4 linked regions of the Elephas maximus indicus genome follow. The protein of the gene in region 1 purifies or fractionates together with the protein of each later gene. This does not show direct contact. Links are inferred from orthologs where the notes say so. Each region holds a gene or a part of one and is shown in the gene's direction. Other genes may lie near its edges. The genes, in order: RAC1, NCKAP1, DOCK1 and CAV1.

Region 1 (7,503 bases):
TGGAGAATTTTCTTGAACATTTTCATTGATGATTTCCTCCTTTGCTTTCTCTGTGTTCTTTTTTTGTAGAACTTCCTATTATTAGTATGGTTGGACCTCCTGGGCTGTTTCTAATAATGTTCTTACTATTCCCTCCTCCATTTTTCTATCTTTCTGTCTTTTGGGTCTTTTCGGGAAATTTCCTCAAGTTGATGTTTCAACCTGTCTATTTTTTTCATTTTGCTAGCTTTCTTTTATTTTCCAAGAGTTTTTTTCCCCTTAATCTTCTGAATGTTCTTTTTTTGTAATACAAAAAAAAAAAAAAAATTGCCATAGAGTCAATTCCAAGTCATAGAGACCCCATATATCTTATTTAAATTATATTATTTTATCTGAATATTCTGATAGCTTTAAAAAAAAAAAAAAAGTTCTCTTCTCCCTGCCCTGTTTTTGTTTTCCTCAACTTTATTTTCTAGCTTCCCTTCTGGAGGATTTCCTGAGCTACCTGCTTAGGAGTACAGGCTTGCTGGTGATCCCTCCCCATATTGTATCTGTTTTTCCCGTCTGCGCAAGGCAGGTTCTCCAGAGAAGGGCCCTCCACACTCTTAGGGAAGGGTGTATCTCTTGGGCTTCCTGGAGCCATAGGGGCAAAGTGAAAGCTGGGAGGGACTGAGGTCTCTGCCTAAGGCTACTAAGTTCCTTTGTTTTTGTCTCATTATCTAAAGATTCCCTGGTTCATCTTGTTTTAGAAAGGAATCTCCAGTCTTTTGTAGAGGGGAGGGAAGGTGGCCCCTCTGCTTAGTGCATGGTGGGAGGCAAGGTAGGGGGCTCCAAGCTTCTCAGCTTTCGCCCCATCCTCCTTATCTTTCCCTTCATCCATAAAGACCCAGTGCTGCTGGTTTTGAGCCTCTGATTTTCTGCTACAGAGCTGGTGTGGATCAGCTTTTCTCACTACCAGTCTAGGTCTGTTTCAGGTGGCTAAGTCAGTTGCAACCACTCTGTCCCCTCATCTACTTATCTGGTTTCAGCTTCTGACATCAGGATGTCTTTTTCCCCATTCCCTGTTCCAAGATTCTTTCTTTCTTTCTTTTTAATTCCTTTATTGAAGTTCTTACAAGGTTTTTGGTGGACATGAAATTAGATCTCTGTGATCCACCATCTTAACCTGGAAATGAACTGCACTGTATTGTATATTTACTTGCCCATTATGCACCTCCCCTACTAGAATGTAGATTCTCTGATGATAAGACAGGGCTACAGCCATTTTCTTAAAATTGTTGTCTCCTCAGGACAGCCCCTCACCCAGCCCATTTCCTAAAGTTGTTTTTCTTCTCAGAACTTCTTTGAAAAGAAATAGCCACCGGCTAGCCAAAATCGACCAAAACAGGTCCTGCCCTCCATCTTGGCACTAGAGATAACCTTTAGCTCATTAACTGCCTCATGTGTGGTAAATTCTCTGCACCTGGGTTGAGAGCTAACATGCTAACAAACAAAAATGGCTAACTTCCTCCTCCATGAGGAATTGAACCCAGGACTTAGAAAATGCTTACTCATTTTAAAATGCTCTGTGCCTGCACCATTTTGTATTCTGAAACTAATCTTTCCTATATAAACCAGCCTTTTTTTTTTTAACAAACTGCCCGCCAGGCAGTCTTGGATGGCACAAAGTCGCGACTGTCTTCTTGCTTGCCTTTCCCTCTTCCCAACTCAGTCTCTGTGATTTTGGATGGAGTAGTGCTGAGCAGAACCTGGAGCTCCTAGCAACAATGGCAGGGCTCTGTTTTGTTCATTTCACACTTTCAACGCCTAGACAGTGAATGGAACAGAAGTGGGTGCTCAGGAAATGAGTAAATGAATGACCTTGAATGAAGGACCTAAACAGGGTACAGGATTCCATACACTTGATAAATGAGTTAACCAGGTAGCACGTTCAGAAACACGCATGGTCTAATTGAGTATTTATTTGCTTTTATTAATTTTAATTGGAACTTTTTTTGATCACTTGTTTCTGTGGGGAAAATTATAAGTAGATACTGAAGGAAAAACTTGGAGAAGGGTGATCACTGAGTTTTAAATTAAGAATGATTTTTATATGTGCACTGAACATTAGTTTGGTTGCTTCGCAGTCGAACCTCTTTATAGTGGACTTCTACTTTACCAATCTGGAGAAATAATAATTTGAATTTTATTGTGTCACTTCTTGAATTAATAAAATGAGGAATATAAGAATAAAGTCCAGATTCAATGCAGTTTGTCATCCAGCCTGTGAATACTTCTCTGGATTCGAGACCTGAACAGTGCAAACGCTTGTCTTCTCTGTGTCACATCTGAGGACAGCCTACTCTTCTGCTGGCCATGTAACCTATGAATAAAGTCCTCTCTGTGGAAAACTCTTTTCTTCTTGCTCCATCAATACCCACTAAAAATCCTATCCAAATCCATCTTCCAACTCTCAGCTCAACTGTCATCTCTTTGAAGAAAACCTTTTTGTAGGCATGAATATCTTTTCCATGCTTTGCCTTCTGATAACCACCATACTTGTAATCTACTTATAACAATGAGCACAGTAGGCCTGGTGTCCTGGCAACTATGTCTCTGTCTGGTTTATTTACTACCAGTTCATTACAAAACAACAGCACAACACTGATATTTCTTGAACTGTATTACTGATGAGTCCCCACCCTTTTATCTGGCCCTGGTAACACATGAAGGTAATCATGCTGAGTAGTTAGGTTTGTCAACTAGAAAATTTTTTCAGCAGTGACAGAAAACAGGATGTTGTTTCTCTATCACCTTTGAAATTTCAACTATTCCTCAAGGGTGATCTTTATGAACAGAGCAAAAAGAAGGTGCCCTTTGCCCTGGGAATATGTTTATTTTGAAATAATTGTAAGCCAAAAATGCTTTAAAAATTAAAAAAAATATATACTTGTATTCAAAGGGTCTGATTTCAGAAAACTGGTTCAATACTGGGCAAAAGAGTAAGTCATAGGGAAAGAAGGTCCTACTAAGATGAAAATACAAGTGGAAATTAACTTCTCTGGAGGGTCCACTCTCAAACAGTGCTGATAGGAGTGTAAACTGATTATCAGCTTCCAGGAGGGCAATTCAACTACATGTATGTATAAAAGCTTTAAAAACATTCACAGGTACTGACCCAGTAACTGCATTTATGGTAAAAGTAGTCATGCAAATGGTTAATGAGCTTGGCTGCTAACTGAAAAGTTGGCAGTTCAAGTCCACTCAGAGGCACCTCAGAAGAAAGGCCTGGCAATCTACTCCGGAAAAGTCAGCCCCTGAAAGCCCTATGGGGCATGGCTCTAATCTGACATACATGGGCACACATGGGACTGCCATGAGTCAGAATCGCCTAAACAACAACTGGTTACTGGTAGTCCAAAGAAATAAAACTATAGGAAAACATTCTTCCATAAACACGCTCATTCCAGCATTGTTTATAATAAAGATTAGCGACATTCCAACTGTCCAGTAACAGAAGAATTGGTTAAGTTACGTGGGCATAATAGAATAGCAAGCAGCCATTAACGATGTTCTAACATTGATCTCTCAATTTTATTAAAACCATGTTCTCTATGTACGTACGGAAGACCTGGCGGTGTAATGGTTAAGTTCTACGGCTGCTAACCAAGAGGCTGGCAGTTCAAATCTGCCAGGCGCTCCTTGGAAACTCTATGGGGCAGTTATACTCTGTTCTATAGGGTCGCTATGAGTCAGAATTGACCCGACGGCAGTGGGTTTGGTTCTCTACGTATATAAAAAATTAACTAGGAAATATACCGAACTTTAGTGCTTTGGTATAAAGACAAGGGCATTTTTGTTCAGTTTCATCTCTAGAACTTGGTACAAAACATAGGGCACAGTTGGCCCTCAATACATTTTAAAAATAATACAAGATGATAACACAGAAGAAGAAAATTAAACACTTTCTTTTGCTGAATGAACATGGGTTCTCTCTGAACACTGGTGCGGTGTATGTTTTGATATAGTTTTCGGTTCCGAATTTTCTAGAAAGACCTTAGGTGACTATCACAATAAAATGGATAATAAAAAGTGTGGGCTGGAATCAATACCCTTCAGATGACCTCGGACAGGAGCTGATCTGCGTAAGCGTGGCTCCTGGAACTCAGTGCATCTTTCAATGCCTAAATCCTGGGGGCTGTGCCGAGAAGAATCCCCCACTCCAAGGCCGGTCCCCGAGGCGCAGGGCGCCCCCACAACCTCGACCGGCCAGAGACAGGCTCGTGACCCCAAGATGGCAGCCCTCCCCGCAGCCGCCGCCGAGCGCTTCCGGGCGTTCCCGAGCGTCTCCGAAGCCAAGAGGAGCCCCGCCCGCCAAGCGGCCCTCTGAGGCTCGCCCTGCGGTCGCAGCCGAGCGCTTCCGAGAGCTTCCGGGCGTCTCCGAAGCCCAGAGGAGCCCCCCGGGAGCCGCGCGGGCGGGCCGGCGGGCGCTGCCCCGCCCCGGAGCCTGGGAGCGGCGGCGCCGGCGCGGGGGAGGGGAGGCCGGATGTGAGTGGAGCGGCCATTTCCTGTTTCTCTGCAGTTTTCCTCCAGCTTTGGGTGGTGGCTGCCGCTCGGCTCCGGCTCGCAGTCTGCTGAGCGCAAGGCGGCGTGGACAGCGGCCCCGGCACTTCGCGCCCCGCCGCCCGCAGCTGCGCGCCTGCCCGCCGCGCCCCGCGCCCGCCGCTTCTTGCTTCACCGCGCGGCCGCCGTCGCCTCCCCGCGAGCGGCCCAGATGCAGGCCATCAAGTGTGTGGTGGTGGGAGACGGGTGAGTGCGCGGGGCCGGGCAGGGCGGCCGCGGGCGGGGGTCGGGCCGCGGGCGGGGGGCGGCCCTGGCCGGGGAGGCCGGAGCCGCGGGCTCGCCTAGGGGCCGGGCCCGGCCTCCCCTCCCCGGGCCGGGCGGCGGCGGCGCGGACCCCCTCCCCTCTTCCCGGGACCGGGCTGCGCGGGCCTGGTTCCGCCTTTTTTTGTACGTGGAGGAGGGAATGAGCGCCGGCTGGAGGGAAAGTGAACTCCACCCTCCAGCTCCTGCCCTGCTCCCGGGCCCGCGGTGGGCGCCGGGGCCGGAGTCGCCGAATGCCCAACTCCCCTCCCAGCGCTGCTCCCCACGCTCCCCTTACTTGCCTGTCGGTTAGGTGGGATTTAGAGTCGCCTTTTAAAAAAAAGAAGGACCGTCGGCTTTTATAGGATCCTCTCGTGCCCCATGCACCCCATTGAGCGCTTTCGTGGGCAACAGTGGCCAAGTTAATAATGTTGGATGAATGTTTTCCTGGGCGGGGTTGGCGACCCCAAACTTCTTTGTGATGAGATATCTTCGACTTGCGCTTCGCCGGTTCTAGGGCTTTTAGATGATTATTTTTGCTATTTCTTAGAGAAACTTTTTAAATATATTTCATTTCATTTTGTTGTTGGGAATGTGCGCAGAGCATTCATCAATTCACCAATTTCTACACGTCCCATTCAGTGACATTGATTACATTCTTCGAGTTGTTCAACCATTCCCCCCTCTCCTTTTCTGAGTTGTTCCTCCCTCGTTACCATAAACTTACTGCCCCCTAAGTTTCCCATCTACTCTTTTTGTGCTGCTTTTGTCAATTTGCTCTCTGGGAGAAGCGTTTAAGATTTTAGCTGTGAAGAAAGGAGCTGGGTGTGATTAAGATTGTTCCCTTCGTTGAACATGATGTGGTCCCCCCACCAGAAAAAAAAAAAAAATTGGCCTTCGCTTAATGCGTTAGGTATGGGGTGTAGCAGAACAGGCTGCCAGAGCGGAGCTGCCCTGTGACTCAAGGCATTTCTTTTCATTACTGTCTGGGGGGGTTCCAGGCCCTAGAGGAAGACAAGACTTGTCTTATGCAGGTTTTTTTTCCTCCCATAGAAACAAGACTCTCAGTATAATCCGAGCGGTGTTGTGCGTCTCAGCCTCGCTCGTGTAGTTTGGTGTTAACAGGGAAGCTTGAAAACTCACTACCAGTTTCGTCACGTTCAGAACGCAACTGATACATTCTCAAGTGTGTAGAGTCGAAGGAGACGTTCTGGAGTCACTGATCTTTTAATTAGCGTGCTTCAAACTTGTCATCAGTACTGATTGTGCGTGTATGCCTCTAAGTGAATTTATTAATTCTAAGTTTGACATTTGAAATGATCTCTGTGACAATTGAGATGCAAGAACAATTAGACATTTGATTGACTTGTCGGACTTAGAGGTGAGAAGGGTGTTAATACTTGGTGGTTCTATACATATAACTGAAAATTGTTTCTCTCACTTAAGAATTTGTAAAAATTTTTTGTTTTTCTGTTTTTAAACCTTTTAAAAGCTTTAAGGCCCCTGCGTGGCGTAAACGGTTTGCACTCAGCTGCTAAGCTAAGGGTTGGCCAGTCAAACCCGCTCAGCAGTACCTCAGAAGAAAGGCCTGGCAATCTGCTTCTGTAAATATTTCAGCCAAGAAAACCCTATGACGCAGTTCTACTCTGTAACACATGGTGTCACCCTGAGTCGGAACTGACTCCACGGCAACGAGTTAGGTTTGCTTTCTGTCATTTGACTAAAACACGTTCAGTTAATTGGCTTAAGTGTGAGATCAATAGATTCAGTTAAATGAAGTTTTGATATTTGCATAATGAATTAATTAAACATGTCACTTTTTCTTAGGAACATTTTTAATTATCTGAATTTCCTTTAAAAGTTAGAAATGCTAAATCTATAATGCCTACGACAGCCAAACTCATTGCCACTGAGTCGATTGTTACTTATAGCGACCCTATAGGACAGAGTAGAACTGCCCCATATGGTTTCCAAGGAGCGGCTGGTGGATTCAAACTGCCAACCTTTTGGTTAGCAGCCATAGCAGTACCACAGCTCCCAATACTTTGAATATGAACTAATACATAGTATTTTTTTAAGTCAATGAATTGCTGATAATTCCATATTCAACCATAGGATGTAATATTCTTACCTTAAAATATCAGAAGGGAAACCATAAGTGCTAGCAGATATGTTTAGCTACTATTTGTATTGACTAGTTTATAGTCCAACAACTTATTGACTGCCTACCATGAGATCTGAATCCTCCCTTCAAATCCCTGCCCACCACTTATGGGGTAACCTTGAGCAGATCATTATCCCCCAAGAGAGGTGCCTCAAGGGGAAGTCTCGCGGATTAAACAAGATGCTGTATATTAAGTACCTCCCAGGTGCCTGGCCCCCGGGTGAGTGCTTAGTAGTGCCAGCTTCCATTATTCTTATTTTTGCTGCTTCTGTTACTGTGAGGCACAGCTAGGCTCCGTGAGGGAGTGCTAGGCATAAAACACAGTTCCTGACCTGAGTTTTCAATAAGCCTTCTAATGCTGTACTTGGTATTCTCGATGTTGTAGTCAAGAAGCAATATTAGGCTAAGGCTGAGCAACATTAGAAGTGAAATGTACCTTTACAAAAAACTGAAGCTGTATTACTTGAAATAAGGACTGGTAAGGAGCAAATGGAAACCCTGGTGGCGGTAGTAGTTAA
Region 2 (7,055 bases), on another chromosome or scaffold:
GGCATTTGATTATACAAAGATGGGAGCTGGGTCCTCAACTAGTGTAACTTTGACATCATGTTGTCCAAGAATTTCTGCCCTCCAAACTCAGGTTCCACTGTCATAACCAAAGCCATATCTAACTGAGTAGGCCATGGTGCCAAATACTCAACTGTAGTTCCTGGTTTGATGGCAAGGCCAACACTTCATATCATGCTCCCGAATGTCTTTAATCAAAGCTCCTGGGTTCTCAGTGGCCTCAGGATGAAAGGTATATTGATTGGACCCTGCTATAGCCACTGGCTTTACCCACTGTTCAGGCCTGGACACCATCATGTGTACGTTAAAGAAAGGGTCCTGGCCTAGCTGCTTTTGGAGGCTTTCTACCACAGGGTGACCAAAGGTGGTGCTGGTAACAAAATGCCTGTCTGTTACATCCAGGTGCAGATAATCAGCTCCAGAGTCCAGCATCTGGAGGCACTCCACCGCTAAATTGGCCAGGCTGCTGTTGAGGATGGACAGGACAATCTTGCAGCCAGACACCATGGTACTGGTTCCTCCCATTTTCTTCTTTTTTAATTATTTTTTGGTTGAGAATATGCACAGTGAAACATACACCAATTCAACAGTTTCTACATGTACAATTCAGTGACATTAATTACATTCTTTGACTTGTGTGACCATTCTCACTCTCCTTTTCTGAGTTGTTCCTCCCTCATTAACTTAAACTCACTGCCCCTTAAGGTTCCTAACTAATCTTTTCAAGATGCTGTTGTCAGTTTGATCCCATATACATAGATCTAAAAGAGCATAATGCTCAAGGCAGACATTCTTTATTAGTTAAGCTAAACCATTGTTTGATTTAAGAAGACTTCAGGGAATATTTTTGGTTTAAGGTTTAGAGATTATCTCAGGGCAATAGTTTCAGGGGTTCATCCAGCCTCCATGGCTCCAGAAAGCCTGGATTTCATGATAATCTAAAATTTTGTTCTGCATTTTGCCTCTTTTGGCCAGGATTCTTCTACACCTGTAAACCCATTGCCATTGAGTCGATTTCAACTCATAGCGACCCTACAGGACAGAGTAGAACTGCCCCATAGGGTTTCCAAGGAGCTCCTGGTAGATTTGAACTGCCTACCTTTTGGTTAGCAGCCGTAACTCTTAACTGCTACGCCACCAGGGTTTCTGGAATCTTCTATAGACTCTTTAATCAAAATGTTCAGTAATGGTAGCTGGGCACCATCCAGTCCTGGTCTCATAGCAGAGGAAGCAGTTGTTCACAGAGGCAATTATCCACACAGCCATTTCTTCCTCCTATTCCTGACCTTCCTTCTCTGTTGCTCCAGGTGAATAGAGACTAATTGTGCCTTGGATGCAGTACCATTTTCATGTTCTCTCTGTACAGTACTTTGAAAAAACTAGAAAATTAGATAACTTTGCACTGGTGGAACTCCATTATTATGTCTCTACTAAAACTGTTTGTGGTGCTATAAAAGAGCACAGTCTTTCCACAACATTTGGCACCTTTCAGTTTTATCTGGCAGCTCCAAACCCCTCACTGCAACATCCCCTTCCAAGGTCTGTTCTTGTTATCCCAGGCTACAGATCATTGCCTTTTCTCTAAATTAAAACTTTAAATATCAGGTTGAAAGAAACCAGATAATTTAAATATCCCAGCACATTAATACTTATTCAGTCTGAATACTGAGCAAATAATCTGAGAAACTGGCTATATGAAGAACGAGGCATCAGGGTTGGAGGAAGAGTCATGAACAATCTGCGATATGCAGATGACACAATATTGCTTGCTTAAAGCGCAGAAGACCTGAAGCACTTAACTGATGAAGATCAAAGACTACAGTTCTCAGTATGAATCACACCTCAACATAAAACAAAAATCCTCATAACTGGACCAATGAGCAACATCATGATAAGCTGCAAAAAGACTGAAGTTGTCAAGGGCTTCATTTTACTTGGATCTACAATCAACACCCATGGAAGCAGCAGTCAAGAAATCAAACATTGGGCATTGGATTGGACCAGTTTGCTGCAAAACATCTCTTTAAAGTGTTAAAAAGCAAAGATGTTACTTTGAGGACTAAGGTGTACCTGACCCAGCCCATGGTATTTTCAATCACCTTATATGCCTGGAAAAGCTGGACAATGAATAAGGAGGACTGAAGGAGAACTGATGCCTTTGAATTATGGTGTTGGCAAGAAATATTGAATCTACTGCCAGAAGAACAAACAAATCTGTCTTGGTAGAAGTACAGTCAGGATGTTTCTTAGAAGTGAGGATGGTGAGACTTTGTCTCCTGTACTTTGCACATGTTATTAGAAGGGACCAGTTTATGGAGAAGACATCATACTTGGTAGAGGGTCAGCAAAAAAGAGGAAGACCCTCAAGAGATGGACTGACACAGTGGCTGCAACAATGGGCTCAAACATAGCAACGATTGTGAGGGTGGTTCAAATGCAGTGTTTCCTTCTATTGTACATAGGGTCTCTGTGAATCAGAATCCACTGGAGGAACACCTAACAAGAACAACACGTTAATGACCTATAACAGTGCATTAGGTGGCATCTCTGAGACGTTTGTTTTAAAAAAAAACAAAACTCTTCAGGTACAAAAATGCAGCTCTAAGTATAGAATTCCAAGCACACTGGTAGGTACCATTATGTATTTTTGTACTTGGTGGGTACAGGGCTCTTTTTAATGCCCTTGAAAACAAGTCCTATGAGTCTCCGAACCGACTCATGGTTCCTAACAACAAAAAAAGTCCATTTAGTCTACTCACTTTCATTTGTTGGGGGTATTAAAATCAGGATTTCCATAGGTATAGTAGATACATTAGCTTTAAAAAAAAGTTTAAGAAGCTATTCATCACAATTTCCTTTTCATAAAGTGTTTTGATAAACCCAATGATAACTTATTTACTCTTTTATTGAAGTTAGCAGAATATTTTGTCATTGGCTTAAAACTAATGAAATAATGCAAAAGATTGATACATGGAAGGGCAGTAAGGCCAAAATCATCAAAGTGGCTCTACTTCTCTAGGCTTGAATCCTCATCCCAGCCAATTACATAAGTCCTTGATTTGTTCACTTTTGAAACCGTATCTGATATATTTGACCAGAGGGAATAGTAGCCTTGAAGTGTGGCTAGGAAACTAGCCAGGAAAAAAAAAGAAACAGAGAGATGGAAAAGTAGAAAGTTTCTGAAAAGCGGTCGGACTTAGGGTGGAGGCCAGGAAAAAATGGGAGCGTTCCTTCACCCACTGAATAAACATTTATTCTGTGCCACCCACGTGTTTCTCGTGGACAAATTCCAGATTCTGATTATCTCAGGAACTTGAGTTGTCCTCACTTCCGATCTCCTCCCGCATAAACTGCTTGGGGCAGGGGTGGTGTGGGGGTGAGTTAGGATGGAATGGGGAGCTTGGGAGAGGCGAAGCCGCTTCGCGGAACACAACATCTGCTGTGTTCTGCGGTGAGCGTCTGTCAAGCAGTGGGAGGAAAGGCGCCTGGAGCCACCAGCCCACTCTCAGGAGAAGCTCATCTGAGACTCCTCCCCGCCCCCCTACTTCTTCTGGTTTCTTTAGGACGATGGCGCAGAAAGACAACTTATGTTGCCACTTTAGGAACTTGAAGGCTGGGGGGTGCTGGAAGCGGCGGGACGCACAGAGAAACGTGACCCTACTCGGTCCCCACTTAGGACTCACATTTGGGGAATAGGCGCAGGCAGCGAGTCGGGTTCAGGTGGGGTCCGGGTCCAGAGTGGCTGCGACTTGGAAGCCTGTCGGGGTAGGCAAGGGCCTGCCTGGCGCAGTTCTCCGACCGTCCTCGCGGGGGCGCCGGCGCGGCCGATCAGGTGACCGAGCGCCCGTCCGGGGCTGCGGGAAGCCGCCTCGTTCTCAGCCGCCGGAGACGCCGCTGCCGCCGCCACACCTAGTGGAGGAGTCGGGGAAGGCGGCTTGGTGGGGGCTGGGACAGAAGGCGGCGGGGGTGGGGACGGAAGGGCGGCGGGCGGAAGGCAGGAGGCTGCCGGGGCGCGGGCTGCTGCGGGGGAAGGGACCCCAAGGCGTCCGCCGCGGCTCGCTCTGTCACCGGCGCGGGGTTGGGACGCTAGGGCCATGGACGCGCTTCCCTGAGGCGGAGGTCGCGGGCGGGAGAGGAGGAGGCCGAAGAGAGGTTACTGCGGAGGCCGCGGGCCAGTGACCGGGCGCCAGCAGGCCGGCGGCGGCGGCGGCACCACCACCATGTCGCGCTCCGTGCTGCAGCCCAGTCAGCAGAAGCTGGCGGAGAAGCTCACCATTCTCAACGACCGGGGGGTCGGCATGCTCACCCGCCTCTACAATATCAAGAAGGTGCGCACGGGCCGGCGAGGCCGCGGCGGGCGGAGGGCCGAGGAGGGATGGAGGGTAGGGGAGGCCTGGAGGGTGCGGGGCGGCGCCGCGGGCAGAAATCCAGCATCGCCGCGTCAGGCCCGGCCCGGAGTCGCCGGGATGTGCCGCGGCCTAACGGGGAGTTCCGGGAGCCTCTCCCGGTGGCTCGCGGGCCGACCGGAGGCAGGGAGAAGCCATTTCCCACTTCCCAGCGGCAGGATCCGGCGCCGGCCCTGGCGTGGGGTGGGGGCGCCGTTGCCCCCTTCTTCGCGCCTCCGCCCCCTGGACGGGGTCGTCAGGAACGGGAGAGAGATGGGTGGGCTAGATTTTCGGAGAATAGGAAAAGTTGGGTGTTCCAAAACAGACGAAACCCTAGAAATCTGGCGGGGATAGCAGTGAACGGGGATTACACCCCACCTCTCAATTTCTTGGTGTGTGGGAATGTGGGAAAGGAATGAATGGCTAATCAACATTAACCTACATTCTTTCTGCTCTGCCAGTTTATTTGAGATTGCTGAATAAAAACCATTTGAGAGGCTGTTGACGATTTGGGATTATTTCATTTTTTGAAGGTGGAGAGGAGGGGGAAGTGAGGGTGGAACCAATTTTCTTCTCAAATACTTCTGGGCTGTGAGTCACTAGAACAGGAATAACAACCTTCTTTCCCTACCCCCTTTACTCCTCCTCATCTGAATTTTTCCAGCCCTATCTGATAATGTTAAAACACCATTTCTTAGACTGTGGTGTCTATACCAAATAAAAATGTAAATATGTTGTGAATTCTGCAGATTTATAGCATAATCAGATAATTTGAGTAGCTAATAGACTCATTGAAAATCTTTACATGTCTTCAGCAAATTTAAGAAATGGGAGGTTGAATTGTAGTTAAGAAAAATAGATGTAATGGTAGAGCAAATATTGCATTCATTTATCTTAGGAGAAAACAACAAAAATCCTTTTCCTTTTTAAAGGTAAGGTTGGTAATTTTTAATGAATGTGGTTAAGAGAAAATTAAAGAGCAATTTTGTTTGCAGTCTAGAGCCTTTGAGTTTCCAGTGTGTATTTGGTGTCATTATCTTCATGGTTATTTTTGCTGGCTTTTTAAAGTACCACGAATATTTTATTTAATCGTAGCAGTAGAATCGCAGCTTTTGTGAGTCTTGGCTGCTGAAGAAAGATTGTGTTTTTCAAAATTCACATCATGGGGTTCAGGTATAAAATTTGAGGTAGATAGTCTACTTCTAAAGGGAAAGATGGTTTTGCTGTAGTTACGATAAATTTTGGATAAGGATTGCTATGGTCCTCCAGTTGCTCACAAGGATGCAAGGATTGACTCTGCACCCAGTGCAGTCTACCTGTGCGGTTTGTTACATTTTATGTGACTGGGGCATAGTGTCATTACAAAGAAGCCCTTTGCATTTACTAAGATGCCTTGGTTATAAATTTATGTACGTTAGGAATAATTTAATTTTAGATAGTATTACTTGTAGGTTGCATTGACTTGAATGTTTTGTGAGATTATACTTTTTAGACAACTCAGAAATTGGTTCCAATACAAACTTTGTCCAAACAACTAGCAATTCAAACTTCAGTAAAGTTACTAGACCTGTGGTATTGTGGTTAAAGGAAATGGTTATGATGGTTTCCAGAAGAGGAAGTGAGAGTAACATCAAAAGTGATTTGGTATTTGGGCAAAACACTTTTTTTTAAAGCATACATTAAACATTTTTATATTATAAATGTAAGCAAACTTACCATATTCTACCATAGTAAATTAGGTAAGGGTAAACTAAAATCTAAAGATCTGAACAGATGACGGTTCACTGTCTTTTCTCAAAAGCAGTTTTTTTTTTTTTACTTCCTGTTTTGAGAAACTTTAGGCTCTTGAAGTAGCAAGATTTAAAATAAGTTGAATGTGATCAGTATTATATCCATGTGTCAAATACCTTGAGTTTTTGAAATGTTGTATTTCAGCACTTAGCACATATTTGTAGTTCATTGGGAAATATTTTATCTACCTTGCCTTAACGTGAGTTCCCTTGGGGCAGGGACAGTGTTATTCATCCCTAAACTACTGGTATTTAGGGTCTCACTTGGTACCTGAGGCCTTTAAGGCCTTGTTGAAATGAATGAATACAAAAAATATATATACCTTGCCCACATTTCAATAATAATAATTTTGGTTTGCTCTCCTTGTGTAACTGCATATAAATGCATTAAAGAAATTTTGGATCTTTTAGCCTCTAGAGTTGCCTGTGAGGCCAGCTTATCTTCTCAGCTGGCTAGGGATTGAAACATTTGTTCCAAAATCTTGCCAAAAACAGTAATATGTGTCCACCATGTGTTCATGCTGTCTGCATTCTTATGACAGTATAAACCACATAATCTTTTCAATCTCAACCTTTATAGTCTTCAAAAAACTACCACCCTATATACATGCCATTCAGTTATCATTCTTTTATTAATGCATATGTACATTAGATTGTCTATCAGATTTGATTAATCTTCACTCCAATTGAAAGTCTACTCTGGAAATATTTTAGCGAGCATGTACAATGAAAAATGCAAACTTCAGTGACCTAAGTCTAATAACACTTTTATAAGTTACTCTAGACAATAATATTATGCTTTAATGCTCATGGAGCCCTGGTGGTACAGTTGTTAAGAGCTTGGCTGCTAACTAAAAGGTCG
Region 3 (7,912 bases), on another chromosome or scaffold:
CATCTCAGGGCAATAGTTTCAGGGGTTTATCCAGACCCAACGGCTCCAGAAAGTCCAGAATCCATGGAAGTTTCAAATTCTGTTCTGTATTTTACCCCCTTTCGATCGGGATTCTTCTATGAAATCTGTGATCAAAATGTTCAGTAATGGTAGCCGGGATCATTCAGTACTTCTGGCTTCATGGCAAAGGGGGCAGTTTTCATGGAAGCAGTTAGTCACACATTTCATATCCTCCTCATATTCCTGGGAGAATCCCAAATTCTTAACAAGACCTAGAAGGGTCTGCCTACTTCTGCAGCCTCATTTTGTGCCGTTTTCCTATTGTCTTATTGTCCCTATTGCCCTGCTTGGCTCAAATGGTTAAGCTCTCAACTACTAGGTTGATGGTTCAAACCCATTCAGAGGTTCCTTCTGTTCTACACGCATGGGGTTGCCATGAGTCAGAATCCACTAACAACAACAACAACATTGCTTCAGGCATACTGGCTTTTCAGCTCATTGAAAGATTAGCACCATAGCACCTCAGGGCCTTTGCATGTGCTGTTCGGCCCCTCATCAGTTCACCTAATTAAAAAAGTAAAAGCAAACTCATTGTCATCAGGTTGGATTCATAGCAACCCTATAGGACAGAGTAGAACTGCCCCATAGGGTTTCCAATGCTGTAAATCTTTATAGAAGCAGACTGCCACACCTTTCTCCCTAGAGAGGCTGGGGGTGTTGAATTGCCAACCTTTTGGTTAGCAGCTGAGTGCTTAACCATTGAGCCACCAGGGTTCCTGTTCACCTACTTAGTTCCCCTTTATGGTTAGAGTCTGTGCTTGGATCGTCTCCTCAGGAGGCATTCCTCCTCTAGGTGAGGCCACATCATTTGTCCCCGAGCACCCTACTTCTCCTGCGTAGCACCTTTGCCGCTGCTTCTCCTTCAAGGGACCACAGTCGCTGGGCTGTGGGTTCAGGACCTGAGCCCCTGAGGTTTCTGTTTTCACAGAAGGCTTCAAGCGGGTGAGAGAGACCATGTGTGGTGCGAGCCCAGCCCCTTCCCTTTGTTGGACTGAAGTTCCTTATCAGTCGAGCAAGGCCTGTAACTATGTATGACTTGGTGGTTGCTTTACTGCGAACTCCTGCATCCTACACACGTTATCTTCTTGCACACAGCCTGGTTCCCCTCATCGGTGAACACTGAAAAGCACCTCAGTCATTCCAGTGTGTTTATTTAATCTGCCTTCTGGGTGGAATGCTGAGATTTCCCTGGCTCTGGGTGACCTTGACGGCAGGTATCAGGCACTCTCACAGCAGGATGGTGGGCCACGGTGTCTCCAACCATCTTCCAACAGCTTTGGGTATCTTTGCAAGCCACTAAGAGTCAACCTTGACCTGGATCAAGACAGTGTGTGGTGTTTACTTATCCAGGCCTTGTTACTTTACCCATCCTCTCCCCTCCGCCACCACACACCCTGGCCTTAGGGGTGGAGTTCACGCCTTGCTTGTCTTCTGCTCCTAGCACTCGAGCACTCAGTGTTTGTCACAGAAAGACACTGGAGTTCCCATGACGGAATTTTGCAAGACCAAACTCCTATTTGTTGGAAATATCTTTTTCCAACAACAAAATACGTGGATCCCAGATGGAATATACAGGAATCGACTTGACTATGCCTGTGGGAAGAGATGATGGAGAAGCTCAATATCATCAGTCAGAACAAGGCCAAGAGGCTGACTGTAGAACAGACCATCGATTGTCATATGGAAGTCTAATTTGAAGCTAGAGAAAATTAAAACAAGTCCACTAGAGCCAAAGTACAATTTTGAATATATCCCACATGAGTTTAGAGACCATCTCAAAAACAGATTTGATGCACTGAACACTAATGACTGAAGACCAGTCAAGTTGTGGGATGACATCAAGGACATCATACATAAAGAAAGCGAAAGGTCATTAAAAAGACCGGAGAGAAGGAAAAGACAAATATGAATGTCAGAAGAAATTCTGAAACTTGCCTTTAAATTTCGAGTAGCTAAAGCAAATGAAAAGCCTGGTGGCGTAGTGATTAACAGCGGCAGCTGCTGATCAAAAGGTCAGCAGTTCGAATCTACCAGCCGCTCCTTGGAAACCGTATGGGGCAGTTCTACTCTGTCCTATAAGGTCGCTATGAGTCGAAATCAACTTGATGGCGATGGGTTTGGTTTCTTTCTTTCTTTATTTTTTGAAAGCAAGTGGAAGAAATGATGAAGTAAAATAATTAAAGAAAAAAAAAAAAAACCCACTACCATGGAGTTGATTCTGAATAGAAGATTTCACAAGGTGGTTCCAGAAGACAAAATGTGCAAAGACCTGGAGTTAGAAGACCAAAAGGGAAGAACATGCCAGCATTTCTCACACTGAAAGAACTGAAGAAAAAATTCCAGTCTTGAGTTGCAGTTTTGAAGGATTTTATGGGCAAAATATTCATCGACACAGGAAGCATCAAAAGAAGATGGAAAGGATACACAGACTTACTGTACCAAAAAGAAATTCAACCATTTCAGGAGGTAGCATATGATCAAGAATCGATGGTACTGAAGGAAGGGGTCCAAGCTGCACTGAAGGCACTGGCGAAAAACAAGGCTCCAGGAATCGCTGGAATACCAATTGAGATGTTTCAACAAATGGATGCAGCACTGGAAGTGCTCACTTGTCAATGTGAAGAAATTTGGAAGACAGCTACCTGGCCAACCAACTGGAAGAGATCCATATTTATGACTATTCCAAAGAAAGGTGATCCAATTGAATGAGGAAATTATTGAACAATATCATTATTAAAAAAAAAAAAAACCCGTTGCTATTGAGTCAATTCTGACTCATAGCTATCCTACAGGACAGAGTAGAACTGCCCCATAGGGTTTCCAAGGACCACCTGGTGGATTTGAACTGCCTACCCTTTGGTTAGCAGCCATAGCACTTAACCACTACGCCCCTAGGGTCTCCTCACTAATATCACATGAATGTAAAATTTTGCTGAAGGTAATCAAAAAATAGTTGCAGCAGTACATCGACAGGGAGCTGCCAGAAATTCAGGCTTGATTTAGAAGAAAACGTGGAACCAGGGATTGCTGATGTCATTGCTCATGTCAGATGGATCTTGGCTGAAAACAGAGAATACCAGGAAGATGTTTATCTGTGTTTTATTGACTATGCAAAGACATTTGACTGTTTGGATCATAACAAACTGTGGATAACATTAACAAGGATGGAAATTTCAGAGCACTTAATTGTGCTCATGAGGAACCTGTACATAGACCAAGAGGCAGTTGTTTGAACAGAACAAGAGGACACTGCATGGTTTAAAATCAGGAAAAGTGTGCTTCAAGGCTGTATCCTTTCACCATACTTATTCAATCTTTATGCTGAGCAAATAATCCGAGAAGCTGGACTATATGAAGAAGAACGGAGCATCGGTATTGGAGGAACTCACTAACAACCTGTGATATGCAGATGACACAACCTTGCTTGCTGAAAGTGACGAGGACTTGAAGCACTTACTGATGAAGATCAAAGACCACAGCCTTCAGTATGGATTACACCTCAACATAAAGAAAACAAAAGTCCTCTCAACTGGACCAACAATCATGATAAATGGAGAAAAGATTGAAGTTGTCAAGGATTTTACTTGGATCCATAATTAACATCCTTGAAAGCAGTAGTCAAAACTCAAAGGATGTACTGCATTGGGCAAATCTGCTGCAAAAGACCTCTTTAAAGTGTTAAAAAGCAAAGATGTCACTTTGAGGACTAAGGTGTTCCTGACCCAAGCCATGGTATTTTCAATTGCTTCACATGCATGCGAAAGCTGGGCAACGAATAAGGAAGACCGAAGAAGAACTGATGCCTTTGAATATTGACTATAACATGGACAGCCAGAACAACAAACAAATCTGTCTTGGAAGAAGTACAGGTCCTTAAAAGGGAGGATGGTGAGACTTGTCTCATATACTTTGGACGTTATTTGGAGGAACGAGTCACAACAGTCCCTGGAGAAGGACATCATGTTTGGTAAAGTAGAGGGTCAGCAAAAATATGGAAGACCCTTAACGAGAGGGATTGGCACAGCGGCCGCAACAATGGGCTCAAACACAGCAAAGATTGTGAGGATGGGCAGGGCTGGGCAGGGTTTCTTTATGTTGTGTATAGGGTCCCTATGACTGGGAACCGAATGGAGGGCACCTAACAATGAATGAATGAGCCAAGTGTTCTGGAAGGTGCCTCCCAGGGTGCCCACTCCTTTTGCTCTGCTTGGGGACTCTCCACCAAGGCGGGGAACCTCAGTTGGAAACACTGTGTCATCCAGCTCAGGCCTACCCCCGCCTCCCCCCCCCCCGCCCATGTGCAAACCGCTCAGAGCCCACCTCCACTCGGTCCCTCAGGAAGTTCTCTTCTCCTTGTAAGAGTTCCAGGAGGCTCGCTGATTCAAAGAAATCCAGCCAAGAATGAAACGAAGACGCCCCGTGGGGTGCTCCATTGGGAATGTCTGTGGGCCGTGAACGAGGGGGACCACAGGAATAAAGCTGGGTCCCTGGGCAGGAGGAGCGGTTGGGGCTCGGTGTGCGGCGCAGGGGGCGCCGGTGGGGTTCAGGAGAGGCGCTCCGGGCAGGGCGGCGGCCCTGCGTTCCCGGTCTGCGGGCGCAGGCAGGGCAGAGGCCCGGGTCCGAGCGTGAGGGCGGCGCGCAGCCCGCAGCCGTCCCGCCTCTTGCCGGCGCTCCGGGCCTTTCCCATCCGGCCGGCGACGCTCCGCCCGCCCCGTCCCACATGACACCGCCTCCGCCACAAACTTTTTCCTCCCCATCCTGCCGCGGCTCGAAAGGAATGGAAAATGGCGGCCTAGGCGCGGAGTTTCCTGTCCGGCCAGCGGCGGCGGCTCTCGGCGGCGCGCGCCCCTGGGGTGCCAGGACCCGTGCGGCACTATGACGCGCTGGGTGCCCACCAAGAGAGAGGAGAAATATGGCGTGGGTGAGCACCGCGCCGCCCAACTTCGCGCGGGCCTTGGCTCCGAGGCAGGCCGGGCGGGCGCGGGCGGCTACCGGCTGAGCCCCCCGGGTCGCCGCGTCCCCGCCGCCGCACGGGTGACCCGCGTCCCGCGTCCGCCGCCCTGGGAGCCGGCACCCGCTCCGGCAGCTCGCGCTGGGACTTGCCCGAACTTACTCCGGGGCGGGTGGTCCTGGGCGGGCGCCTGGGCGTGCGGCGGGCGGCCCGGGGTGACCATCAGGCGCGAGCCGCGGACGGCGGGCGGGGTTGCCCGGGAGCCTGTTGCCTCCCCACTCGAGTGGAGCGGGCGGGATGCAGGGTGGCCGGGAGGAGGCGTTTCCGTCTGGAGCTTGTGCCGCGACACCGCCTGCCGGCGCCACCCCGGCGGGCAATGCCCTACCTGGATCCCGGGGCCGGCACACCCGTTCCCGCGCCCCCTCGTCGTGCAGTGTCCCCCCTAGACCCGGTAGACCGGCCGGGAACCGGGCTTGGCCCGCAGGGTTGGGGCAGTTTGTGTCACTCCTCGAGGGTGTTCCCTCCCCCACCTCCAGCTCTCAGGCACCCAGTGGTGGAACTTTGCAGCCTGAGGGCCCCCCCCTCACTGGTATACGCGCCGCCTGCGGCCGAAGCGGTCAGTTCTGCGGGGAATCTCCGGGGTCTTTGGCCTGACGCCTTTTTTGCTTCTTGGATGAAGTTGTGTTCCGTATCTGCCCCGGCTGGGCAGTTTCACGTTGCAATGATCAAAACTCAGAATTCTGCTCGCATCTGGTGGGGAGTGGTGTGCGCGACCCTGTCGGGCAGATGGCCGCTTCACGCCATTTGGTTGGCCCTGCACTGGGCCCTGCTGGACCCTTGAGGCTTCGCAGCCCAGCACCCTGAGGCTTGGACCCCGGATTAGGCGCGCAGGCCTGTGTTTGCTTCGCTGCACTTTGCTGTTTCCTGAGGGGGGCAGGGGGTGTCGGGTTGCAAGTTTACATTTTGGACCCCGAGTACACATTCCAGAGAGCGAGTTTTTTCTTAATGGCAAAGCAAGCCGACCCCGCGCCAAACTATGCCTGCCCGCCCCTTCTCCAGAATTTGCAGCTGGGTCTTGCCAAGGCGTGTGGGTCCGGGCCTTCTTGACGTGCCCACGCGCCTTCCGGTCTGGATCCCAACCCCAAGATCTGCCTGTGGTGTTCAATGTCACTGTCTGCCTGACGGAAGTCCCCGATCCCTTGCCTCATCAACGCCAGTCTTCTCCTCTGCCTTGTGAGACCTTTGTGATCTTGCCTCCTTAGCCACAGGGTCTGGGCTCCCAGCAGGGCACGCTCTCTGCTGCAGCTCTGGCCTCGCCCGCCGGCAGCATGCCCTTTCCCTGTTCTTGCAGGCGCTCTGCCCACCCCTGACTGCCTTGCCCAGGCCTCCTGCTGCTGGGCTTCAGGCCCGGGCCCTTTGACCTCTGGGCAGTCTGTGAGGGCTCTAGTCTCAGGGCTTCCCACTCTCTGTGAACCCCAGTTTATCTGCTCCGTCATAGCGGCCAACGGTGGGCCGTGGTTATGGAGCGGGTGTGCACAGTGGCTCGGGCCTTTCCTGGAGCAAGTCTCATGCCTTCTGGGCCCACACTGGGCTCGTTCTTCACGAGGGGGCTGATTGTCACCCCATTTTGGGGGTGAGGGAACTGAGGCTCAGACTGGTTCACAAAGGGCCACGGCGGAGCTTTCTGACTCTGTGGACTGAGCATGCGCACACCCCCTGGGCGCCCCCAGACTGAACAGTCTGGGGGCGTCCTCACGGAAACTCCCAGATCTGCTCTGAGGAGATTCTGCCTGGGACAGCCCTAGAGGACAGGGCTCACGGTAGAGATTAGAGTCTTAGAAACCCTTCAGTTCTACTCTGTCCTCTAGGGTCTTGTGAGTCAGAATTGACTGGAGGGCCTGGTGCAAGCGGGAAGCAGCTGTCACTCACCCCTCCTGGGGGGCCAGGCACTGGGGAGGCCTAACCCTTGTGTCATCTTAGAGAATTTAAACCTCACCTCAGTCCGGAGGTGGAGGCAGAGCCCGAGGCAAAGATGGTAAATTTCTTACCCATTCTTAGCCTGTGGTGATTGTGGTAGCGGCATCCAGATAGCCCCAGCTCACGGCCGCCCCGTGCCCAGCGGAACAAAACCCTGCCGGCCCTGCGCCATCGCCGCGGCTGGTCGTGGATCAGACAAATGTCATCCATAGGGTTTTCGCTGGCAGATTTTCAGAAGCAGATCACCAGGCCTTTCTTCCTAGTCTATTTTTGTTTTAAAGCTCTGCTGAAACAAAACCTGTTCAGCATCATTGCGACACACCAGCCTCCACTGAATACACAATGCACATGAGGAGAGTTGGCTGGGAGTCGAACCTGGGTCTTCCAGATGGGAGGCAAGAATTCTACCACTGAATCGCCACGGCCCTCTGTAAGTGGTAGGTCCTGGATCTGAACCCTGGCAGCTGGCCCTAGAGCTCACCACCTCTCTTTACGGCTGTGTCTGGCGCTCACCAGGAGATGGACGAGGGTCTTATCTTCAGGACACGACATTTTGCAAGTGCTCTTTTGAGACCCTTTGCTGCCTCCCTGGGTGACTGGAAGGACCTTGTGGGGTCTAAAGGGAGTGTTCACAGGTAGAGCAGGCAGGGTCTTCTCACAGGGGAGACATGTCACACACCTTCCAGAAGCTTCTCCAGCACTCACAGCAGTGATTTCTAACATCACACCTTCTGCTAATACTTTGGTTTTAGGAAAACTCACTCTTAGAAGTTCGAGCTGCCACAGAAGAAAACGATACCAGATGGTTTTGCCAGGAAATTCTGGGAGAGATTTGAGTGACAGGTAGAGAGGGTGGGGCTTGTTCTTCAGAGCTTCACCAGGTGGAGGTGAGACAGCTGAACTGGGTGGAAATGAGGAAACAGC
Region 4 (6,932 bases), on another chromosome or scaffold:
AGATTCAGCTGAACACATAGGTTGTAAAAATACGGACAGATTTATGTGCCTTCATGTAAACAGTCACTGCTCCAAAATGCCTCACCTCCCTGCAGCCCTTCTCCTGAGCCCTGCACCCCATGATCCAGCAACTAAAGGAAGGACTAATGCCTAGCCAGCAGGATTCCAAGACAGCTACAGTCCAGAATGACTGATCAGTGGCTCTGTCATACTGGTTATTAAAGGTGTTTCCTATCATTCCACATGATAGCCCCTATTATAATCTCTTTTCTGGACTAACTGACAAAAACGTATTTGGAAATTGTTGGAAAGAAATCTGTTTCTTAAAACTACTAATACCATTGTAAGTGGTCAAAACTTGGACTCCTTATCACCTAATCCTAGAGTGGGAATTAGATGAAGCTAGCTAAACATTTTTTTTTTTTAGCTGAACATAGGAGTGATGCGAACAGTTAAGGACACTCAGCTGCTAACCAAAAGGTTGGAAATTTCAGGCCACCCCGAGGTTAGCCTTGGAAGAAAGGCCTGGTGATCTACTTCCAAAAAATCAGCCATTGAAAACCCTGTGGAGCACAGTTCTACTCTGACACACCTGGGGTCACCATGAGTAGGAGCCAACTCCAGGGAAACTGATTGGAAAGTAAAAAAGAACTCAGGATGGGAAGGATGGGAAGAGGAAGTCGTGACAGGGGGAAAGCGGGCTCAGAGAAGGAGATGAGAGAACACAAAAACAGCTAAGTTCACGTCAGAATTTTGCCCTGACTATACTACTTGAATACAGTCAAATTTATACTACTGTGCTATTTAAATATCATCAAATTTATACTGCTGTACATAGTCAAATACATCCCTTAAGTTAACTGCTGCTGTTGTCATTTATCAACTTTAAAATGTTTCATTACCCAATAAACCTTCTAAAGAACAAACAGTTTAACATATTTCAATACCACTTTCCTCATCTCTAGGATGGTTGGACCAGCTGATCTGTGTCCCTTACATTTTTCTCGTAAACTTTGATACATGAACTGACCTTTAATCCTACTTCTAAAAAAAAAAAAGTAATGAGAAATGAGTTGCCATCTACCCAATTCTTAGTAAATGATTTGGAGAAAGCTATTAACTTACCTCCAAGCATACAGTTATCTGTGTGAGTATCAAAGAAACAATATTTTTATTTTTTATATCATGTAGTCATTTCAAATGGTGTTCTCATGCTAACAATGTTCTTCTTCGTCTTTTCTTTCTCATAAAGGTGGAGCTATTATTCAAAGTTTGTTATTATAACCAGAATTAGATCTGTTTCTCTCTGGTGCCAGCTTCTTGTTGAGGCAGGTTAATAAGGAGTTTGTGGTTTTTCCTTTCATTAGGAATTCATTTGGCATTGACAACGCTTCACTGATCATCACGATTGCAGCTGTTAATTCACCGTCTCTGTGGACTTACCCCAGCAGGCTTGGCTTTCCCTCAGTGGAGTGCTGGTTAAGCATTCACTCAACAGCCTCCCAAGAAAGTCCTTTCCTTGCTGGAATGCAGGACAAGCTCTCTCCGTGTTCCTCTTGATTTTTTCCCCCCACGGTCAAAATTACTCATCCGCAGCTGAAGACTGAGTAACAATAGATGGGAAATGCTTTGGACATTTTTCCATAGACCATAACCCCAACTGTTTTGTAGCAAATATTTATGAAGAAAGAGTTAAGCCAACAGTAATCAGTAGAGGTAGACTAGTCACTACACAGCATATTAAACCTGGCACCATCCTTTGCTAGCATATCATGTTCTTTAACACATGATTTGTTCAAAGAATTTAGAAATGCAATTTGGCAGAAATAAAATGAAGAAAACCCAACTTTTAAAAGATCTTCAGCCTTCTAGTGATGAATAACCAGCATACCGAAAGTCATGCCAACATTCGTGACACTTTGCCTAATATTCCTGGTTGAAATAGATCTTTTTAATTAAATATTGTGTTGTCTTTTTGCTACCATCAATAGCCTGTCCTTTATGGTTTCCTTTTCATATGTTCATACCTTTTTCTCTCCAACTAGATAATCTACTTTGTTATGATTCTATTCTGTATCTTCCCTTCTCCTCCTCCTTTTGCCCACTCCTTTATTCCCCTTTCTAGATTGCCAGTGTTTTTAATTAACCTGTGACCTTTTAGGTGTATTCCCAGCTTTTTTACCTTTCTAGATTGCCAGTGTTTTTAATTAACCTGTGACCTTTTAGGTGTATTCCCAGCTTTTTTACCTTAAGTGAAAATCGACATATATATGTATACGTCAATTATAACGTGAAGTAAATACACACGTATATAATTGACTTTTAATTACATATGTAACCTTAGGGAAAAAGTTCTTTCCATTTTTGGATAGTTTATTTCCTGTCTTATTATAGCCAAAAAGTAAAATGAGGAGTAGTTTAATTCATCTTGTGCTGCTTATGATAAGGTAAAGAGAAGTCGCAATTGGGGGACAGATAAAATATTTTAATTGCTGACAAGTTTTTAAAAATTCCCGTATCAGTTACTAGGTGTCTCAGTTATCTGGTGCTGCTCTAACAGAAATACCACAAGTGGGCGGCTACAACAAACAGAAGTTTATTGTCTCACAGTCTAGGAGGCTACAAGTCCGAATTCAGGGTGCCAGCTCCAGGAGAAGGCTTTTTCTCTCTGTGTAGGTTCTGGGGGAAGGTCCTTGTCAGCAGTCTTCACCTGGTCTAGAACTTCTGAGCGCAGGGATGGGGTCCAAAGGACTGCTGCTCCTCTGGCTCTTGCTTCTCGTTGGTATGAGATCCCCTGTCTCTCTGACGGAGTCTCTCTTTTATATCTCAAAAGAGATTGATTTAAGAGCCAATCTGATCTTGTAAATTGAGTCCTGCCTTATTAACATAATGCCGTTAATCCCGCCTCATTAAAATCTTAGAGGTAGGATTTACAACACAAAGGACGATCACATCAGATGACAAAATGGTGAATAATCACACAATACTGGGAATCATGGTCTAGGCAAAACGACACACATTTTTGGGGGGGGGGACACAATGCAATCCATAACACTAGGAAACCCAAGTTCCCCCTAGCTCACAGCCCGATACGTTTTTTTTTTTTTTTTAAATTCTTGTCTGGTAATAAATTCCAAGCTTTAAACATTTCTTTACCGTTAAATATTGTATATATTTTGTAAATATGGCATAATCTATTGGCATGAATTTTCTTTGTTCAAGAAAAGAGCAGTAGTAAAATTAGAGAAATGTCAAACATTTGTATTCATTTCAAAGCATTTGGGAAACATTTCAGAAGCGGTCGTGAAACATCAAATTGCGCGTGCCGGTTTATCCAAGTTGCTATCCACGCCGCCTAGACGTAAACAAGTGTCACCAAAAGCACACACACGTGCACCACTTAAATTCCTTCTTGTGTCTCGATGTGAAATACACCTAAAGGTTTCGAGCCACTCTTCACCCGTTCCTCTGAATGGTGGAGCCATGTTTCTCAGGAGGCGATGAAAAGTGGGCAAGGCGAAAAAGGGCTTGGAAGAGGGGAGAATTCCTTCCGACGGCTCGAGTGCCCATTCTGGGCATCTCTGCAGGCCGGTCGGCTGCGTGCACCCCCACCCTTGCTCGGATGATGCACTGCGAAAGCATTCGCTGTCCTCAAGATGCCTCTCGGTGGCTCATAGCTAGGAAAATGTTGCCCCAGGTTTAAAACATCTGCCCAAACAGCCCTCCGCGCGCTCAAGCTTTCCCACTCGCTCTCCGCTCCCTGCGGGCCCTCCCCGCCCTCTGCTGCCAGAACTTTGGGGATGTGCCTAGACCCAGCGCCGCGCACGTCCTGGCCAACCGCGAGCAGAACAAACTCCTGGCGCGCGGCCAGGAGGCGCGCTCCCAGCCACCGCCCGCCGCCAGTGCCTTTTTTTCCCTCTATACAATACAAGATCTTCCTTCCTCAGTTCCCTTAAATCGCAGCCCAGGGAAGCCTCCTGAGAGCCTTCATCCAGCCACCGGCCAGCATGTCTGGGGGCAAATACGTAGATTCCGAGGTAGGCTGCGGTCCTGGGCGCGGGGCGCACGTGTAGTACCTGTGCCGGCTATGTCCTACTCCACATATTCCAGCTGCTTTTCCAGCCCCAGCCCTCTCTTGACTTTGGGGCACTCCTCGCGCGTTGGCACGGCTAAGGAATGGACCTGGGCGGGGGAGGCGAAGAGGAGCCAAGAAAGTTTTCCTGTGGGGCAGGGGGCAGCGGGGCCTCTGAGCTAGGGGAACGCGGAAAAGAGGGTCGGGGTCCTGAGGTTGAGTCTGCCGGCCCGAGAACGCATTTTCTGGATGTGTCTGGGACGCTCCCTTGTCTCGGGCCCCCACGAACCGGCCCCTACCTGTTGCGAGGCGGGGAGCTGGAGCACTGGGCGGGAGGATGGAGAGGGCGGGAGGAGGTCGTTTACTCGCAGGCCTGGGGACAGTCCCCGAGAGTCCCCGCCAGGCGCCCGGACCGCTTGCCGTATTTGCACTTTCCAAAGCTCTTGGGCTATCTCAAGAACTCTTCCTGCATCTTGGCGCCCGGCAGGGGTGTTTGGAGAGGAGCAGACCGCGCTCTCCGCCACTACCACCACCGCTTGCAACCACCTCCCCACGTCCCGCATCCTCCCGGGTGTGGAGAATTCGTTTTCCCAAACGCACAAGCGGTTCAGTCACAGGCCTGCGGTCTAGGAGTTACCTGAGGGTGGGTCGGGGGAGGAGTGCGAGTGAGATGTTGCTCGGATGGGGAATTTCGGGGGTTCGGCACGTGGCTCGGCCCAGAGACGAGGGGATACGGGACTGTAACCACTATAAAGGAAGGGGAAAACTTGGGGGGGGGGTCAACAGAGGGCAGAGGTAGGGTGGGGCACGTGGGCAGGTGCGAGCTGTCAGGAAACAACGAAAATGCGAAGACGAAAATGAGGATAAACTCTTAAGGATGAAACTGGAAGGGATTATGGAGAGACGGGGATTATGGAGGGACTGGGGAAGGGCATTGGAGCAGGTGAAGCCTTCGGGGCGAGGGTGGTGTGACGGGGAGAGGGGCTGGAGCCAAGTCAGAGATCTGGGGGGCCCCCTCCCAGCTAGGGGTCTCCACCGGGTACTGCACGCAGGGTGCGCGCGGGGCGGGGGCCACGGCGGACCGGGCCGTGGGGTTCGCCCTGACCCCTGGCGGCGGGCGGGGGAGGCTGGCGCTCCCTGCCTGGTACTGAGGGGTGTGGTGTCCTCGCCTGGATCCTCTTAAAAAGCTTGCGGCGCCAAAGAGTTGACTCTGCGCGGAGCCGCCGCTGCCGACGCGGTTAGTTCGATTTCAATCCTCGAGGTTTTCCTCACAGCCAGGTTAACTTCTGCTCGCTTGTTTTTCTTTTTTAAATTCTCTTGCCACCACTGGTGCCACCCTCTCCCTCCTGGCCGTCCGCGCTCCACAGGGACATCTCTATACCGCTCCCATCCGGGAACAGGGCAACATCTACAAGCCCAACAACAGGGACATGGCAGAGGAGATGCACGAGAAGCAAGTGTACGACGCACACACCAAGGAGATCGACCTGGTCAATCGCGACCCCAAGCATCTCAACGACGACGTGGTCAAGGTAAGCGGAGGCGGCAAGAGGGGAGGGGACGTCCCTAAGGGGCCGCTGTCAGGGCCTGGACAGCCCACCCCTGGCAATCAGCCTGTGCGTTCTTTTCTAGCTTTGCCACACACGCCGTTTTCTAGGCTGGATGTGTGGGAGCGCGTGCGGTTGTTAGAAATGTTGAAATGTCACATCCTCCCCGCCCCCCTCCCCACCACCCCCCGCCTTGCTTAGTTCAGCTGGAATTTAGTTAACTTGAGTTTTGTAGCCCATATAACTGCGCTTTTCTTCTGGTAAATAGCCTCCTGACCTCAGCAACAGACAGGCTCAGATTATTTGGGAAGGTGAGATGGCCACGTTATAAGAGACCCTCTCGATTTCCAGGTCGGAGTCTAGTGCAATCTAGTGAAGGGTGACACCCACCGAACATGGAATTAAGGTAGTAAGATAACTGTGTAAGGTCATGTGCCAAAGGTGAGAGCAGAATACAGAATGGGCAGCCCACTGCTAAATACCCTGAAGTGATTTTCTTAAAAATAATAAAGTGGAATAATATATAAAAAAAAATATATATATATAAATAGGTCCCCCCAAAAACAAAACATATATAAATATATATATTACTGCGTATATATACACGTATATACACACACAACACACATATATAATCCAGTGCCCTCAAGTCGATTCCGACTCATAACAACCCTATAGGACAGAGTAGAACTGTCCCATAGAGTTTCCAAGGAGCACCTGGTGGATTCAAACTGCCGACCCTTTGGCTACCACTTAACCACTAGGCCGCCAGGGTTTCCACACACATATATATACAAACATACACATATATTTCTGTATATACTACATTTATAATTATAATTGAGGGAAGGGTATTTCAACTAGAAAAGCATGGCGCCTGTGCACAGCTAAGCAACTTTACAAAAACAAACTACTGTGCACCTCTTGATTTCTCCTCTAGACACCCCTCGTTAGGTATGGAAAGATGCTTCTTTAGTGGCTAACAGGTCAGCCTGCCCTGAGCTAAGGGGATACTGGGGTTGGGGTTCCTTCTTGTAATTTCAGGATATGTTTAGTAAGACTAAAAATAGATTGAATAAGTTATGCGCAAACTTATAGCTGGCTCAGTGGTCAGTTTTTTGGTTACTATTATGTTATTCAACTTTGACCCATTTTAGCAAATCTAGTCAGAGGAATTTATTGTCTGGATCTATCTGAATTGAGAAATCGTGGGCCTAAGCCATCCTTGGCAGAGGGCTTTCTTTGAGGGACATCGAGGGCCAAGGAAAGGCCTGACCTCTTGGTAGGAGTATGAAGACACCGTCCTGCACAGC

What was found.
Region 2: the proteins of RAC1 (region 1) and NCKAP1 purify together in Homo sapiens (pull-down; 4 studies listed by BioGRID and IntAct, with this or other methods). This does not show direct contact. The link is inferred for Elephas maximus indicus from reciprocal best matches to the Homo sapiens genes RAC1 and NCKAP1.
Region 3: the proteins of RAC1 (region 1) and DOCK1 purify together in Homo sapiens (pull-down; 6 studies listed by BioGRID and IntAct, with this or other methods). This does not show direct contact. The link is inferred for Elephas maximus indicus from reciprocal best matches to the Homo sapiens genes RAC1 and DOCK1.
Region 4: the proteins of RAC1 (region 1) and CAV1 purify together in Homo sapiens (affinity purification with western blotting; 4 studies listed by BioGRID and IntAct, with this or other methods). This does not show direct contact. The link is inferred for Elephas maximus indicus from reciprocal best matches to the Homo sapiens genes RAC1 and CAV1.

What each region holds. Positions count from the first base shown.
Region 1 is NC_064830.1:100,915,359-100,922,861, reverse strand, and holds the start of RAC1 (ras-related C3 botulinum toxin substrate 1), read left to right. Parts: upstream 1-4,495; 5' UTR 4,496-4,732; coding exon 4,733-4,767; intron 4,768-7,503. UniProt on the Homo sapiens protein: Plasma membrane-associated small GTPase which cycles between active GTP-bound and inactive GDP-bound states.
Region 2 is NC_064824.1:81,383,281-81,390,335, reverse strand, and holds the start of NCKAP1 (nck-associated protein 1), read left to right. Parts: upstream 1-4,114; 5' UTR 4,115-4,238; coding exon 4,239-4,346; intron 4,347-7,055. Other genes in the region: nematocyst expressed protein 3-like, read right to left, coding at 3,702-4,114. UniProt on the Homo sapiens protein: Part of the WAVE complex that regulates lamellipodia formation. The WAVE complex regulates actin filament reorganization via its interaction with the Arp2/3 complex. Actin remodeling activity is regulated by RAC1.
Region 3 is NC_064834.1:76,807,445-76,815,356, forward strand, and holds the start of DOCK1 (dedicator of cytokinesis protein 1), read left to right. Parts: upstream 1-4,935; coding exon 4,936-4,981; coding exon of another isoform or gene 4,982-5,120; intron 5,121-5,173; coding exon of another isoform or gene 5,174-5,453; intron 5,454-5,606; coding exon of another isoform or gene 5,607-5,935; intron 5,936-6,131; coding exon of another isoform or gene 6,132-6,219; intron 6,220-7,912. Other genes in the region: translation initiation factor IF-2-like, read right to left, coding at 1,648-1,653, 4,381-5,120, 5,174-5,453, 5,607-5,935, 6,132-6,219. UniProt on the Homo sapiens protein: Involved in cytoskeletal rearrangements required for phagocytosis of apoptotic cells and cell motility. Along with DOCK1, mediates CRK/CRKL regulation of epithelial and endothelial cell spreading and migration on type IV collagen.
Region 4 is NC_064826.1:33,195,054-33,201,985, reverse strand, and holds the start of CAV1 (caveolin-1), read left to right. Parts: upstream 1-3,913; 5' UTR 3,914-4,007; coding exon 4,008-4,037; intron 4,038-4,517; exon of another isoform or gene 4,518-4,715; intron 4,716-5,439; coding exon 5,440-5,604; intron 5,605-6,932. UniProt on the Homo sapiens protein: May act as a scaffolding protein within caveolar membranes. Forms a stable heterooligomeric complex with CAV2 that targets to lipid rafts and drives caveolae formation. Mediates the recruitment of CAVIN proteins (CAVIN1/2/3/4) to the caveolae.